Bombyx mori: one gene and its partner. Each later gene encodes a partner of the first gene's protein in a complex. Links are inferred from orthologs where the notes say so. Each region holds a gene or a part of one and is shown on either strand. Other genes may lie near its edges.

Region 1 (8,974 bases):
ACTCGTTAAAAGAACCGTTTAGTTTCTTTTTTTTTTTAAGGGATTTTATGACCTGGTAACTAAGACCTTTAGGTCAAGTCTTATTTTAATTTGTATCTTTATTTTTATGAAAAATGATAATATGGAGTGAAATGAAATGAAGATGATTAATTTCAGACATTAATCTACTGAAATTAAATTAAATGAAATGAGATGATGGTATGGGATGAAATATAATCTCAGTAAAATGGTGGTCATTCACAGAGATTTTTTCAGTGGACTTTTTGGAGGATCCCGAGAAGTTACGTCCAGCGGCTTTGTTTCATTTTCCCACATTTGTGCACTTTCACAGATATTAAGCAGTTAATAAACGACCATTATTACACATTTAAGCCCGAAGAAACACTAAATAGACAAAATAAAACAAATCACACAACTTCACTCCTCGCGTTCCCGCCAAAAAGTCCATCGTTTAGTTTAGTTAATTTAGTGTTTCTTAATATAAACTTAATATAAATTGAAAAAACCTTTTTTTCTTTTTGTTGCTTAATTGATTTCTCAACCTACCTTTATATGAATCGTTCCGTATTGTTAATTCAGTGTTCCTTCTTAAAAACTTCCCGATTGAGAATATTATTTCGATAAACCTTTTTTTTTTCTCACTTAATTGATTGATTTCTCAACCCAAGGCGGGTTAAGAAAAAGCCTTTTACTTTGAAGTGTTTACGGGCAGTATCTATATCTATACTAATATATAAATCTACAGTGGTCTTTACGGATGTTCCGTTATAACTACTGTACCGGGCATCCGATTGACTTGAAACTTGGTACCCATGTTAAAAATACATGTACTTAATGGATAGGCTAATATTTATATGAGTGTTGGACTCCCTACACCAGTTGCGGGGGCGTCAATGATGAGAATCTTTGTGGGGTTGAGAAATAATAATGTTTATTTTAAATGCCCATAAAATAATAACCTAACCTGTGTAGGATCATTTCAAAATTCATTGGTTGCCCGTCGAATATCTCCATCCCGTGCTTCATGGCTATCACCAGAGACAACTCTAGTATAGATAGCGACTGCAACACTTTGACTCTGTGCTCCGGAGCCACTGCGTTGTCTATGGCCGTTGTTAGATCTATGACGTTTATATTCGGTTTCGTCGGAGACAGTTTACTGATTGTTTCAAACTGAAAATTCAATTTACACAATTAATGTCACTGACTGGTGGTTTACTAGTGGTAGGACCTCTTGTGAGTCCGCACGGGTAGGTACCACCACCCTGCCTATTTCGACCGTGAAGCAGTAATGCGTTTCGGTTTGAAGGGTGGGGCAGCCGTTGTAACTATACTGAGACCTTAGAACTCATATCTCAAGGTAGATGGCGGCGTTTACATTGTAGATGTCTATAGGCTCCGGTAACCACTTAACACCAGGTGGGCTGTGAGCTCGTCTACCCATCGAGTTTGTATCAACAAGTTATCCCTGATTGAGGCCGTAGGCCAAGTCATCCTCGTGTTGTTAAAATAATCCTTTGCACTTCCAACAATTAAGTACAGGAAAAAATATACAATAAAGTTCGAACTTACCAAAACATTCCTAAAAGTTTGCTCATCAACGGTATAGTAACATAGCTTCTCTAAAGCGTCAATGACTTTTTCGTTTTCAATCAAACTTCTGATATGGGCATTCCAGTCGCTCACAAAGGCTCGGTCCATCGTAGACAAACATTGCTCGTCGAGTTTCCCTTTTAATATATGTTCTGGTATTGCAAAGACTGTGGATGTGCAGGCCGTTTCATCAGTTTTGGCTGAAAAAATGTTACTAAATTAATTTATTTATCGATACATCAATCATTGGACATCCACTGCTGGATATAGACCTCCTTTAAGGATATTTACATTGCTACAGAATAATTTAAAATATTAAGGAAATCGTATTCTATAAAACAAAAGTGACTAGACCTGTGAAATTTGTTTGTCTCATTCATAAATTCATTCGCTCGTTCATTAATTTTACAGTCGTCGTGGCCTAAAGGATAAGACGTCCGGTGCATTCGTATCGAGCGATGCACCGGTGTTCGAATCCCGCAGGCGGGTACCAATTTTTCTAATGAAATACGTACTCAACAAATGTTCTCGATCGACTTCCACGGTGAAGAGTGAAGGAATAACATCGTGCAATAAAAATTAAAGCCGCAAAATTATAATTTGCGTAATTACTGGTGGTAGGACTCCTTGTGGGTCCGCGCGAGTAGGTAGCACCGCCCTGCCTATTTCTGCCGTGAAGCAGTAATGCGTTTCGGTTTGAAGGGCGGAGCAGCTGTTGTAACTAAACTTGAGACCTTAGAACTTATATCTCAAGGTGGGTGGCGCATTTACATCGTAGATGTATATGGGCTCCAATAACCACTTAACACCAGGAGGGCTCTGAGCTCGTCCACCCAAATAAACAATAAAAAAATAAAAAGTCATTATTAATCATTATTATTATTATTAATTAATTCATCTTTCCTTCTATACAGAAAAAAAAAAACTAGGTATCTAATAACAATGTGTAAGCAAAACTTATTATCTACTTTACAAATATTAGATTTCCGGCCACTGCTTCTCCGGCGACAAAGCATGAGGCGGCATGTGCGGACACGCATTCAATGCAGTGGGATGAAATATAATCTAGTATAGAATATCACGTAAGCAATTATATTAGCTCACCGATGGACTTCCTTGATTTTCTTTTCTTCCTCGGCGACACAGAACCCTCCAGGGGCAGACTCAGCAATTCCACAAACAATCTCTTTCTCCCTTCCAGAGGCGAGATAATATCATACCGGTCATCATCATTGACTTCATTAGGAAATATGAATATGTGACGATGGGAAAAACGGGATTTGACCCTTTTTTCAAACAACTCCATAATGTCTAAGCGATTTGTTACACCTGTGCACAGTAAGGAAGCATGATATTTAATGAAATGAAGATTTAACATCTTCGAGCAAGGATTTCTCCTGTGTTAATGGTAATGGAAAGACACATAGAAACAAGTAGGCATCAAATACCAAATATATTTAAGACTAGCTAGGCATTATTATTATTTCTCACCCCCAGAAAGATTCTCGTCATTAACGCCCCCGCAACTGGTGTAGGAAGTTTTTTTTATTTTTTTTATTTATTGCTTAGATGGGTGGACGAGCTCACAGCCACCTGGTGTTAAGTGGTTACTGGAGCCCATAGACGTCTATAACGTAAATGCGCCACCCACCTTGAGATAAGTTCTAAGGTCTCAGTATAGTTACAACGGCTGCCCCACCCTTCAAACCGAAACGCATTACTGCTTCACGGCAGAAATAGGCAGGGTGGTGGTACCTACCCGTGCGGACTCACAAGAGGTCCTACCACCAGTAAGTCCAACACTCATATAAATATTAGCCTATCCATTAAGTACATGTATTTTCTACATGGATACCAATTTTCATGTCAATCGAACGCATGGTTCAGTAGTTATAATGGAACATCCGTAAAAACCACTGTAGATTTATATATTAGTATAGATGTGTGATAGTATGAAGTGAAGATACATTATTAATTTTAAAACGTGACAAGCAGATTAAGTCGCATTTTAATGCCTATGATGGATAACCTACACAACATGTATTAAAGGATAAGCAAGGACTGTAGCAATGTTAATGCCATCACCACAGTGATGCCAAAGGCCAGTCTCAATCGTATATTATAACATATTCTGAGAAAAACAACAAAAACAATCTCAGCGAACTTACCGATAACACACATAGGAGCCGTCTGTGAATGAGTTACGTCAAATAAGTTATACAGTAATGTCTGGGAGATACCGCTGTGGCAAAACATGTCACACTGGTCTAGAATGAATACCATGCTTCGACATCGTCTGTCAACACCAGTCTGGATGCAGCTTAACAAAAACGAGAGGTTCTCGGCAAAGGTACCGAAAACTCGTTCACCCACAGTATTTTCTAATTGCATCTGTAAAGAATAGTGTAGGTGAGTCCATCTTAGTTGGTGAGGCTTCAATTTAATTCAGATTAGTTAAGCCTGCCTTTAATTATACTGTGGTTAAGACACCAGTAGTCAAGCTTCAAAAGTGGCCAAGGTTTTGCCATTGTGTTGTCCCCCTACCAAGACCTTGGCTACAGATTTTTTTCTCATATCCAATGCATTAGTGAAGAGTCAACCACCATGTTTATCATATTATTACAGTCTAGTCCAGTGTTTCCCAACCTTTTTTGTGCCATGCCCCACTGTAACATTTTTAAATTTTTTATGCCCCCCATACATAATTTTAGCATAATAAAATAATTTCAATACAATTTTCTTTATTGATTTAATGCAATTGCCCTTCTTAATTATCAAATTGCCAACTTGTAGGCTATGGGCACCACGTTGGGAAACACTGGTCTAGTCTATTACACACAATGGTCTTTAGTTAAGTACAATTCACTATCCTATTCAGAACAAAATATAATAGAAAAACCTTTCCTGCTATACAGGAATACAATTGAACAAACATTAATAGAATTCTTTTTGACATTTTTATTAGATTCATAAAAAGGCCTCAATCACCTGCGCTGTGATAGCTTTAAGGGCCAGTTTATCATCACTATGTACAAGGCCATTCAGTTGAATTATAATAGCATCATTCTCCAAATCTGTCTCTCTAGAGAGCTGGTGAAGTACCGAGTTTAGTAGCTGAAATGAAATGTTTTACCATTATTGAAAGGTCACAACAGATAACATTTTCTGTACAGAGGCCCTTGCTTCACCTTATATTAAATTGTAACTAGAAAGTGAGAGAGAGAGAATATACTTTATATGCACACCAAAACACAATTAACAATAGAAAACAGTCAACAAGCAGATCCATTTGTACAAATCTTATCATCTCATCATCAAGAGATCTCTTCCAGACAGCCACTTAACTATACAGAAATTCTGGAAAAGATAAAGATATAGCAGGTATGTTGCTATGTACTACTAGCAATACATTATTAAAGAAAATATAAAGAAAATAATAAAAGTGATGGGATCTGAACAAAAATATCATTCATGGGTCAGGTAGAATTCAGAATTGTATTGTTTGACAATCATCCTAGCTTCCACGCTGGAATGCACTGCTACTTCATAAAAAATAGGCAGAATCCAACATACCTACCCAAATAGACTGACAGTAAACCATACCACTCTTAAATCTTGCTGCATTATATATACCTATCTATCACATATGTATCTGTCACATGAAGAGCTGAGAGCGGCCACAATCACCTATATTGTGCTAAGCTGGTGGACATAAAACAATTTAAAAATATTGTAAATTAAATCCGCGAATTGTATATTGAAGCACAAGAACTTACAGTGGTTTTTCCACTACTTCTCGGCCCTATAAGTAAAGCCGAATGCGATTCTCCTTGTAAGACAGTTCTTCTTAATAATTCGTACACATGATTTCTTTCCTGGTCGTGCCCCCGAAACAATACATTGTCTTCTATTAATTTCAATTTTATGTACTTCCTTACAAGTTTTATTTGAATAGCCAACGGGTCTGTATCCATTGATCCACGCATTTTCTCAGACAATGTTATTTATGATTATTTTGTGAAGTGTTTTAGCTTTATACATCGAAGCATAAAATTATTTAATAAATATTTAAAATGAGTTCAAAAAGAAATTTTCGCGGCATAAAATGTCATCCCAAGAAACATCAAACAGCATGACAGTTGACACTGTCAATTAGAGATGTCCTTCAATAATCACCATAGATTATACACTTAATATATTTGAGATTACTGATTGTTCACCATAGTCTACTAAGTATTACGGAGGTAAAGATATTTCTACCCTCCATACTAAGTATGTCAACTACACATTTTGAGATTAAATCGTATTCACCCGTTTTGTCTACTTTGCTCCTAGTTTATAAATGTGCATAAAGCTGAGTTTACAAGTAAATATGGCTTTTATGATGTATCGAAAAGAAACTTTGAAAATAAATTGGCATGTTTCGTTCTGTTTAAATAAAATAGATAATAGCGTCAATTTTAAGTCTTGTACGTTGCAAGTACTCAGTGACTCTTTTAAATGAAAGAAAAGTGTTTGTAACTCAGGAGTATGCACGTTAATTTTTAAAGTAGATGATACTTCTTAAAATGTCTATGGCATGAAAGTAAAAGAGCGCATGCTCGTGAAATCTAATCAATAGACTAAATGAAACATATGATAACAAGAAAATCGAGATATAGCTCCGAATTTCTTCTAACAAATAGTTACATTTTTAGTTCACACCCTTAAGAATTAAAAACTTATAACGTGAAATATTTATTGAACTTAAGTATTTAAGCACTTTATAGTAGTTACAAGTATTCTTCATATGAATATAGGAGAACGTGTGAACTTGAACCGATCAAAGAAATATTTGTATTCATATCCCTGGATTTAATTCTCGTGTACATTGCCTAAAACTTCGTATTGTCCCGTTCTCGCATTTTGACGATTTCTAAAAATAAATCTTTAGTCCTCGTCATGACCTTAAATTCCACGGTTTTTGTGTACCCGTTCATATTATTGAAAATTGGGACAATCTGGAAATTAATTCAATTTGTTTCTTAAGAAGTTGATCGTAAAAAATTATACTTAAAAAGTGAACAAACCAAAGTTTTTCAAAATTTTATTTCGTATTCGTTCGTTTATTAACTATAAAAATTGCACCGTGGATTGTAGCTGAACACCCAACCATTTATGGAAAAAAGTGAAAATATTTTCGAAAAACAATGTGAATATCAGAATTATAGATGCAGCGTCGTGCGTTTTCCGAAATGAGAGTTTTTAATTAGTGCAGCAGGTTTCAACCACTTAAATTCATTTAGCAAATTCGCACAAGACACGAGCCCTAAATAATCACAATGTAATTTGTATTATAAATTATTATGTTATAGTGCAGCAGCAATTTGGCACAGCTTTGAATTTTATAAAAAAAGAAGTACCTAAATAGAGGAAGTCAATATTGCTTTAAGCTTAAAAATTGTAAGTTATAGTATTTAAGCTTAACGCCAGAATCATTAATATGATTACATTTTCATCATAGCACCAAAATATGCACAAAGTTTACCTTCAGACATGAATTCTCATACCCGCATTCATTCAAGGCCACTATTCAAAGTCAATGCCGCAATTTCACAGCAAACCGGTGTTTAGTGAATCGATACGTTACTCTTTTAGCTTAATATAAATTGATGTCTCACTCAGATCAGTAAGTGAAATAGTATTATATTATTAGGAAATTTAGCTATTGGACAACACTATCGATCCAAACTTAGAAAATATTTTGAAGATGGTTTGAGGCACGCAATGAACAGATTATTTGTGTATCTACCTGTTCAGAGATAGTTTTTTGATTTAACTGACAATATCTTTTTCTTTGTCTTTCTTGATGTTTATTCATAGATGATCCAACAGACACAAAATAAGTGTCATTTGTATAGATTTTATTCACAAAGAACTTGAGTTTAGAGAGCCTTATCACGATGGTCTTTTAAAAATAGTTTTACAAAAGTGTTTGTTGATCGATTGTATTAGACTAAAAGATTTGAAACTTAGAGACACAGATCACTGCTTTGTCGTGTGTGCCGATTTTCAAGCTCCTGTACTAATTAATTATTCAGCCAGGATATTTTCAGTTTTCTATTTCAAAGTAAGTATAGCAGATAGGTGGCGTATTATTTCAATTTTCATTATGTTGTAAGATTACAACACCGTTGTTAAGCATAGCATTGGCAGGTCTGAATTGTTTACAACAGTTTGTTTTCAAAATAAACTTGTTTGGGACCACAAACATTGATAACAAACAGCCATAAGATACAATGTAAAACAAAATAATATTAAATTATAAAAGTTTATGTTGCAGTCGAGACTATGTTATGTGCAGATTAATTAAAATTATGAATCATCCACAAGCCAATAACGCATTGTTCCATTTAATTTACAGGCAAGTATGTAGGCTAGAATATTAACTTTTATATTTTGTAAGTCCTGTTTTATGCATTGTATTATGACTGTTTGTTTTCCATGCATAAAAGTCCACACACAACATTCTTACTATTGTGATACATATGAGACTAATAAATAAAACTAACAATTTATGGATTCACTACACAGGTCCATTGTGTTATTGAGAGAGGAGGTTGAGAATGACACTGGATTTGTGACCCTAGCGTAAATTTAAGGAGCCCCTATCTATGTTCATTATACTTATCTTCATTCTCCCCATTCTCTCCCTGCCTAGCCATATTTGGTAGGAAACTATTAGTCTGGCTTTAGATGTTTAAACAAGTCTAGAATTTATGGAGTTTTGTTTTTTGAGAGCCAAGATTTTAGTGAGAGACTTCACTGGTATATCTCTTTACTTCACCAGCATATAACATACCAGCTATCCATATTTGATCAGCCCATTCCTGGGATCATAGTATAAGTTTGTTTGTTTGTGTGGTCTTAAGTCTGGAATGACCTTTAAATGAGTCGACTATTATCAAAGCCGGCAATCTGACTTTTGGACAATGATTGGTAAATCAGAAAAACGAATTATTGACTTTGTATTCCATTGGCAGTCACAAAACTCTTCGGAACGACATCTTAGATAAATAACAGGTTAACTATTAACCTTTATTTAATGCAGGTTTTGAACCGTATTCTTTGAAGGAGACGATTATATTCAAATCAATCTGTATTGACATATCAATAATTTTTTTTGTCCAAATGCACAGATTGCCACCTTTGATAATAGACGACTTTTGAGTGTAAAAAATTGTTAATTGTTTATACATCAGTGTAAATAATTATCTATTAAAATAAAGTAAATAATGTAAACCAACAAGTTTAGAACACATGGGCCTCGTCTTCTAGTTATTATTTGTAGTTTAGCTCTTACGACTCGACTACTGGCAAATTTTATTTCCAGGTTTTTTTT
Region 2 (7,886 bases), on another chromosome or scaffold:
GTTACGGTGGAGAAACAACAAATTAGGTACAATTTATAGTTTTTTATAAATCTATTTTATAGTAAGCATAATAATTAACTTTATTGGTTATTTTATGAATAAAACCATCCTGACACTCTAACGCTGGCATGCGTGCGACAGTAGATGATGTCCAGAGACCGCGTCGCTAAGGATACAGAAACACGTACTTTGAATGTCGATAAGTATAGTACGTCGATGAAAATAATATTGTTTAATATCTCAAAATCTAATATTAAAAGGCATTTGAAAGAAGAAAATGTGTCAAGTTACGCGATCCCGCGCCACGTACACGGCCGCTCTGATTATAACCCGAAGTTTCAAAGGGCTCAATCAGCACGCAATGTACAGCATCGATTTTGATAATATTGTTTTAAGTCAGTCAAAATGTTCATTGGTTCATGTTATTGACTATGTCAGTAGCCGGTAGTAGGGAGGCCCGACCTGACACATATCGGTCGGGAAGCTGGCATGCCTTCCGGGCTGGAAGACCTCATGCCTCAAGGTAACGGCCCAACTGGCGTTAAGTGATCACCAGTGATCACCGGAGCTCACCACAGCCCGAGTTCCATAGCGACGTTGAAACCAGTTCGTACCCTCAATTTAGCATCGGTATGATTTTTTGTATGACACAGCGATATAGCGCATAGATATACAGTAATGCCCCTTATAACACGGTACCCTTATAATGTATTTTCATATAACGCGATTTCAGTCCCTAGTATAACACGGGCATTCCCCCATATAACGCTGGGATTTGTAACGTTATATTTCTGTACTGTGAAATTTAATATCTGTACAGTTCATAATGAATTTGGCGTACCTTTGCACATTGTGTCAATTGTGTTGTTATAAAAATAAATTAAATTAATTTATTCAATTTTTGTTCCTAGTTTTTGAATTGTAAAAACATTGGCATTATTGTATTATATATGTACATATATATTTTTTGTATATAACGCGTTATATGGGGTCATACAAAAGCGTTTTTTGTGAATACTACAACGCGTTTCCTATAACGCGGAACCAATCTACCGTGTAATAGGGGGAATTACTGTAAATATAAAAAAAAAAAGGTCTGTAGCGAAGTGTCGCTGCCAGCAACGCGAACCAACGAGCTTCTTAAGAAAATAGAGAGTACTAAACAAAAATCAGATTTTTTTTATTATTTTTTTATAATTATTATCCATTATATTTATTTAGGTACAAACATAATTTTGTTCTAAACGACCTTCCAAAATGAGCGATGTGGGGTGATAATATTTTAACATTAATAATTTTTGTATGCATTTGATCCGCATTGAAAAAGCGCCTTAAAATAAAACGAATAAGCAATATTAAGTAATTTAATTAATGTACAATAAAACTGTTGTTTGTAAAATTGTTACCATCTCGTTCAACTTATACAAAATGTAATGTTGTACTATATTAATGTATTTGTAAGTGAAAATAGCGTGGGAAGTATTTTAATGCTTATCTAGAATACAGGGTTTTGTGTATCCTTCAACTATTTGAGTCGACTATTATCAAAGCCGGCAATGTGACTTTTGGACAATTATTGGTAAATCAGAAAAACGAATTATTGACTTTGTATTCCATTGGCAGCCACAAAACTCTTCTGAACGAGATCTTAGATAAATAACAGGTTAAGTATTAACCTTTATTTAATGCAGGTTTTGAACCGTATTCTTTGAAGGAGACGATTATATTCAAATCAATCTGTATTGACATATCAATAACATTTTCTTGTTCAAATGCACAGATTGCCACCTTTGATAATAGACGACTCATTTGTTGTTCAAATCTGAAAAATAATTCACTTGCTGATTCATTGCCTTAATGTGATGAATTAAATAAAAAATCTGTTGTTTTTCAATTAAAGACCATGAATATATTTAGTAGCCAAATTAAAAGGCAGATTTTTTTTTTTAGTAATAAGTAAATAAATGTGTTCCATCAGAACCAAGTCGCAGTGTCACCTTATATTTTTATTAAGGAACTATGTGGTATTACCGATCACTATTCTAACATTTTATTCTTTTTTTTTTGCAAAATAAAAAACTTAATATTTGGGTAGCCATTGTTGTTTTATTCCGTATGATATGACCTAGGATACGCGTAGATCCGCTGAGAGGTACTTATCATCGGCAAATATCTTACTGTTAATGTATAGTATAAATGAGGTCCGTCAGCGCAAAAGTGGTCTAAGCTTACCATAGTTATTATGGAGATATTGAGATTTGAATTTATCTTTACAATACTTCGCCAGCCAAAAAATACGTCCAAAAATAATGTTTACAAAGGCATCTGTTATCTGTGTGAAACTTGGGCGATTTTGCATCAAAATTTATTATGTATTAAATAAATTGCAATACATAAAGACGAATATGAATTGTGGGTTAAGGCACTTTTGCGCTGACCGCCTCAAATATCTTATAAACTTCCTAGTGAAATGATGATGGTCGTTGAAAATACTGACTTTGCGAACATGAGTTGAATCTACGAAAATGGATGGGTATTTAACAGATTCCTCTTCTGGTAGAAATATTTATTACCAAAGTAACATTCCGTTAGTCTTCAATAATTTGAAAAACATCGCAAGCAAACGAAAACGCCGACACTCAAAGTTTCTGACACACCGGAATGAAACAAAAAATATATTGGAAATCATGGTTTTATTGATATCAATTTACATTACTAGTCAATGTATAAAAAGCTTGTTTACATTAAATTCAATTTAGTATTAAAGATTTTTAAAAATTTTAAGTAAAAAATAAATGCGTTCACCGCGCTTACTAAAATGCACGACAGATTATCTACTTTTTATTTGGTAAATCCTTATTAAAACTACACTGAAGAATATTATATAACATGTGTATTTTTGAAAAATAAATAATGAATTTCTATACGTGATTAAAAATGTGATCAATTTGACACAAGATAATAAAAATGACTAATGAATTATTGCTCGACTACAAAAATGGCCAAGCCACGGCCCCAATTAAAATATAAGTCCTAAAATCCACTTGTAAAATATTTTTATGTATAATATTGTATCTTTGCACTCATTATTTATATAATAGAATGAAAGAGACAATATTCGTTTAAAATTCCATGTGGCAAGTGCGGGGCAAACATTTTCTATTCATAAATCTCTAACGCCAGTGCCGTAGTTCGCTCCCCCTGCCCTATTGAGTGCATCCTTGAATTGGTCGATGTCTATCTCAGACTGATTTTCAAGTTGCAACTCCACAGCAAAGTTCTGAAACATAATAAAAACTAGTTAATTGAGAACTAGCATTGAAATTGAAAGGTGAGTGAAACTAGACCTTCCTAATTTCAAATTATTTTTTTATATATTTGTGTCTGTCAATATCTGTCTGATAATAATAAAATATTAATAAAACAAGGTTCTAATAATTAATTTTAAATCCAAATGAATTACGAATAAAACGAATTAAAGTAGGTATCTTTTTTGATTCTCAATATTCGTCGTACTAAGCCGGCACTTTATTTGAAGCACAGACTATCAAATGAAATTTACAAAGTTCAAAGTTGTCAAAATTGGAATGTGCGCAAAAATGTCAAACCTGAACATACGTTATAGAATTGAATTAACACAAAAGCTTACGTAAATAAAATAAATTATATTAAAATGGATGAAATATACAGTAAAGTTGTGTGCAGAGAGAATCAGTTAAACGATTTGTTCAATTTATTCGGAGATGACAACGAACCATTGCCGTGTTCTATTTTTATAAGTGGAAGTATGGCAACCGGCAAAACGTTATGCTTACAAACTGTTCTCAATTATTTAAGTTATAAACATGTATTTGTCGACTGTATCGAGTGTTATTCGTCAAAGATAATGTTCGAGAACATATTGTCTGCCCTCAACGATGAAGACGAGGACGTGAAATGTGAAAATTTCATGGATTTTATAAACTGTTTGAACCGGCTTCAAAATAATTATGAACCAATAGTAATTGTATTCGATAGAGTCGAGAGACTACGCAACATGGATCAGAACCTCTTGCCAGTGCTACTAAAGCTTAGAGAATTTTGTAAATTGAACATCTGCACGATATTGGTGACGCATTTGATATTCGAAAATTTTAATTTCAAATTCGGTGTACGAGAGCCCATAAAACTCTACTTCCCTAACTATAACAAAGAAGAGTTATTCAGGATAATATTTCTCTACCAAAAATCATTTGTACAGCATTTGCTGAACCATTTTGACATAGAAGATGAAACAACAGAACTAATTGAAAAACCAGAGTTATTTGCAAACTTCTTGAATGCATTCTTGAGTGTATTCTATAGGCCATGTCGAGACCTTATTGAATTAAAGCATATGGCACGCCTAAACTTCATCAAATACTGTGAACCAATCATAAAAGGTGAAATACAATCAAATGATCTAACTAAATTGTGGAGACACATCTCACCAATCTTGAAAACAAGCCTAGAACTTTTATACTTAAGAATTAGTGATATGAGGCAATTCAAACCTTCACCGGGTAAAGAAAACAGTGAAAGCTTATATGCCAAAGAATTCTGTCTGGAGAAAACGTTAAAAGATGAACTTTCTTCTACAAAAACATTTGCACAAAGCTTCGAACTACCATACTTTGCGAAATACTTACTAATTGCAGCATATTTGGCTAGCTACAATCCGCCCAAAGAAGACAAGAGATTGTTTATGAAGAACCACGGGAAACAACGTAAACAAATGAGACAAATCAAAGCAAAGGCTAAAATTAATGAAAAATTAAGTACACAGCTCGGTCCTAAAGTTTTTACTTTAGATCGATTGTTGGCAATATTCTATGCTATCTTAGAAGATAAGATCGGTTTAACCAGCAATCTGTTGGCACAAATAGCGACATTAGTTGAGCTAAAATTGATAGCGGGAAGCAAAGAGATAGATTTAGATACAGCAAAATATAAATGTATTGTTGGCTATGATTTCATTTCAGCCATTGCTCAGACTGTCGGTTTTAACATTAGAAAATATTTGTATGATTTTATTTGATGTATTGCTGTCAAGTTGCGATACATATTTCTCTAATAAACATTTTTCTGAAACAATTTGATTTTTAGTACTTATATGGGTAAATGAGCTCATGGTCCATGGTTCCAACCAATTTGAAAAATGAGGTCAAAGTCCAATCCGTATTATTAAAATAGCTGGCACATCCTGCAATTCGGAACAATTTTTTTGATAATTTTTTTTTCAATTTCGTGATTAATTTAGGGAGATGTTTAGGATTGAACAAAAAGAAGCTGTAAGCACGCGGGGGAAGAACTTATCCAAAAATAAAATGGGCTTATACGAACCGATATGATGTCCTTGATGATAGCTTTGTCGGTGGACATCTTGGCTCGGTTGATCACAGACACGTTCGGTCCTACCCACGTCATGAACATAAATTTCTTGCGTTTAGACATCTCGTCTCCCATCTGCAACCTTCAGTCCAAAAAATTTATTAAAACAAATATGTGTAATGCAACACACATCTGTTGGACTACGCGAGCCAAGACTTAATTAGAACTCTTTTTACCGATTTATCACGCGGTTTTTGTATTTCTTATTAACCACGTCTCCAATTATTTATAGTTTCCGATCACTCGGCGCCTCAATCATTATTAATAATCACTTTGGTGCTGAGCTTAATTTTACATATTTTTCAAAAAAAGCTAAGGAATTCAGAAAGAAATTACCCACAAAAAAATTTAAATAACTTAAAAATACAAAAATTCATTCACGAAGCAGCTACTGTCGAGTGGTTAGGTCTCCTTTGGAGGCGCTCGGGTAGCTGTTAGTAAATCCCACCCCTCTTGGCTGAGCGCGTGCTCGCCCACCTGTCCTGGTGAAACTGGAAAGGCCTCCGGGCCACCAGTAATCCCTCAAAAAAAGAATCCCAGCTTGGGGTTGGGTGGTAGATGTGTCGCATGTGTCCCTGGTATTATTCATCTGGTCGTGAAAGTTTGTTGGAGGTTTGAGAATTTTTTTTTTTTTTTTTTTTATTGCCCTTGTAGGCAGACGAGCATACGGCCCACCTGATGGTGAGTGGTTACCGTCGCCCATGGACTTCAGCAATGCCAGGGGCAGAGCCAAGCCGCTGCCTATCGCTTAATACTCTCCACAAGCCTCTTTTAAAGAAGGACATGTCATAGCGCTCGGGAAACACCGTGGAGGGGAGCTCATTCCATAGCCGGATGGTACGTGGCAGAAAAGACCTCTGGAAACGCACTGTCGATGACCGCAGTGGCTCCAGGTAGTATGGATGAACTCTACTCCGGTGGCGGGCGGTGCGATGGTAAAAACGAGATGCCGGTATCATCTCGAACAATTCCTCAGAGCACTCCCCATGGAACATTCGGTACAAACTACAGAGGGAACCGAAGTCCCTCCGCAGACCCAAAGGTTCCAAACGATCCGCGAGAATGGGATTATCGACGATTCGAACGGCCCTCCTCTGTATGGAGTCAAATGGAAGAAGCTGGTATTTGGGAGCCCCGGCCCAGAGATGGGAACAGTACTCCACGCGAGGCCGGACTTGTGCTTTATAAAGCAAAAGTCTTTGTCCAGGCGTGAAATACCGCTTCGCTCTGTTGAGGACTCCCAGCATTTTGGACGCCAACTTGGCTTTGCCTTCCAAATGACTCCGAAATTGGACATCACTCGAAATGTCGACCCCAAGTATCCCGATGCTCGCGGAAGGTTGCAGGGATACTCCTTGGAATTGCGGCGCCATGACAAAGGGGTCCTTCTTCGCAGTGAACGCGCAAACTTGTGTCTTCAACGGGTTGAATTGAACTAAGTTCGATTCACCCCACTCGGAGACTCGCCCCAGAGAGTTCTCCACTTCAGACACAAGTTTTGATCGTCTCTCTTGCACCACGCTCCGAGAAAGACTCTGATGGCCGATATATCGCGCATCCCCCGTGCTGTCATCCGCATAGCAATGCATGCCATCAATAGACAGCATGTCATTGATATACAGGATGAAAAGCGTGGGGGAGAGCACCGAACCTTGTGGAACGCCAGCATTAATGGTCATGGTATCAGAACAATCACCGTCCACAACGACCGTGATGCTCCGCCCATCCAGAAAGCTAGCGATCCACTTGCAGAGACCCTCGGGGATTCCGTAAGATGGAAGCTTCGACAGAAGCGCCTTATGCCAGACCCTGTCGAAGGCCTTCGCGATATCAAGGCTCACAGCAAGAGCCTCGCCCTTGCTCTCCAAGGCTTCAGCCCACCTGTGAGTAAGGTATACAAGAAGATCGCCAGCTGAACGACCGTGACGGAAACCGTACTGTCGGTCACTGATCAGCTGGCGATCTTCAAGATACTTCAGGAGTTGTGTGTTTATTATTCGCTCCATCACCTTGGAAAGCAAGGAAGTTATCGCGATAGGCCTATAGCTCGATGGGTCCGACCGGTCACCCTTCTTGGGGATAGGGTGGACGTGGGCGGTCTTCCATGAAGACGGAACCCTGTTAGTGCAATAAGAGAGGCGATACAAACGCGTTAGCGCAGGCGTCAGCTCAGGGGCGCACTTTTTCAGAACCACTGCGGGGATGCCGTCTGGCCCACTCGACTTATGGACGTCCAGGAGTCGGAGCTCCCGCCTGACTGCACACTGTGTGAAGCAGATATCCGGCAGGGAGCTATCACACCGGGGGATGTTCGGTGGTGTGGCACCCCCGTCGTCCACAGTCGAGTTCGAGGCGAAGAGTTTGACCAGAAGGTCAGCCTTCTCTTTCGCGCTGTGGGCCAGAGTGTCATCGGACTTGCGCAGTGGTGGGAGACTAGACCTGCAAAAGTTTCCTTCTGCAGCTTTGGCGAGCGACCA

What was found. Proteins that work in one complex are often made in the same cells at the same time.
Region 2: the proteins of origin recognition complex subunit 4 (region 1) and ORC5 are in contact, whole or in part, in a cryo-EM structure (PDB 7JPO), measured with the Homo sapiens proteins. The link is inferred for Bombyx mori from reciprocal best matches to the Homo sapiens genes ORC4 and ORC5. Residues at the interface, in NP_001177808.1 of Homo sapiens: Ser18, Gln21, Arg22, Arg25, Glu26, Cys29, Arg30, Gln31, Arg69, Thr74, Asn100, Leu102, Leu103, Gln104, Ile105, Ile109, Glu113, Arg116, Asp162, Arg277, Met281, Met284, Leu285, Asn288, Met311, Asp312, Ser313, Lys314, Asn316, Ile317; in NP_002544.1 of Homo sapiens: Ile17, Ser20, Leu21, Phe22, Gly23, Glu24, His26, His27, Phe28, Ser29, Phe30, Pro31, Tyr36, Gly37, His38, Thr39, Thr98, Phe99, Asn100, Val103, Arg104, Arg131, Glu134, Asn136, Pro139, Gly140, Arg143, Gln145, Glu146, Leu147.

Annotation. Positions count from the first base shown.
Region 1 is NC_085108.1:2,848,629-2,857,602, forward strand, and holds the start of origin recognition complex subunit 4, read right to left. Parts: upstream 5,726-8,974; 5' UTR 5,580-5,725; coding exon 5,370-5,579; intron 4,708-5,369; coding exon 4,582-4,707; intron 3,985-4,581; coding exon 3,762-3,984; intron 2,923-3,761; coding exon 2,698-2,922; intron 1,794-2,697; coding exon 1,573-1,793; intron 1,174-1,572; coding exon 965-1,173; intron 1-964. UniProt on the Homo sapiens protein: Component of the origin recognition complex (ORC) that binds origins of replication. DNA-binding is ATP-dependent. The specific DNA sequences that define origins of replication have not been identified yet.
Region 2 is NC_085126.1:11,149,544-11,157,429, reverse strand, and holds ORC5 (origin recognition complex subunit 5), read left to right. Parts: upstream 1-3,601; 5' UTR 3,602-3,673; coding exon 3,674-5,056; 3' UTR 5,057-5,112; downstream 5,113-7,886. Other genes in the region: cyclic AMP-regulated protein, read right to left, coding at 3,164-3,280, 5,362-5,491. UniProt on the Homo sapiens protein: Component of the origin recognition complex (ORC) that binds origins of replication. DNA-binding is ATP-dependent. The specific DNA sequences that define origins of replication have not been identified yet.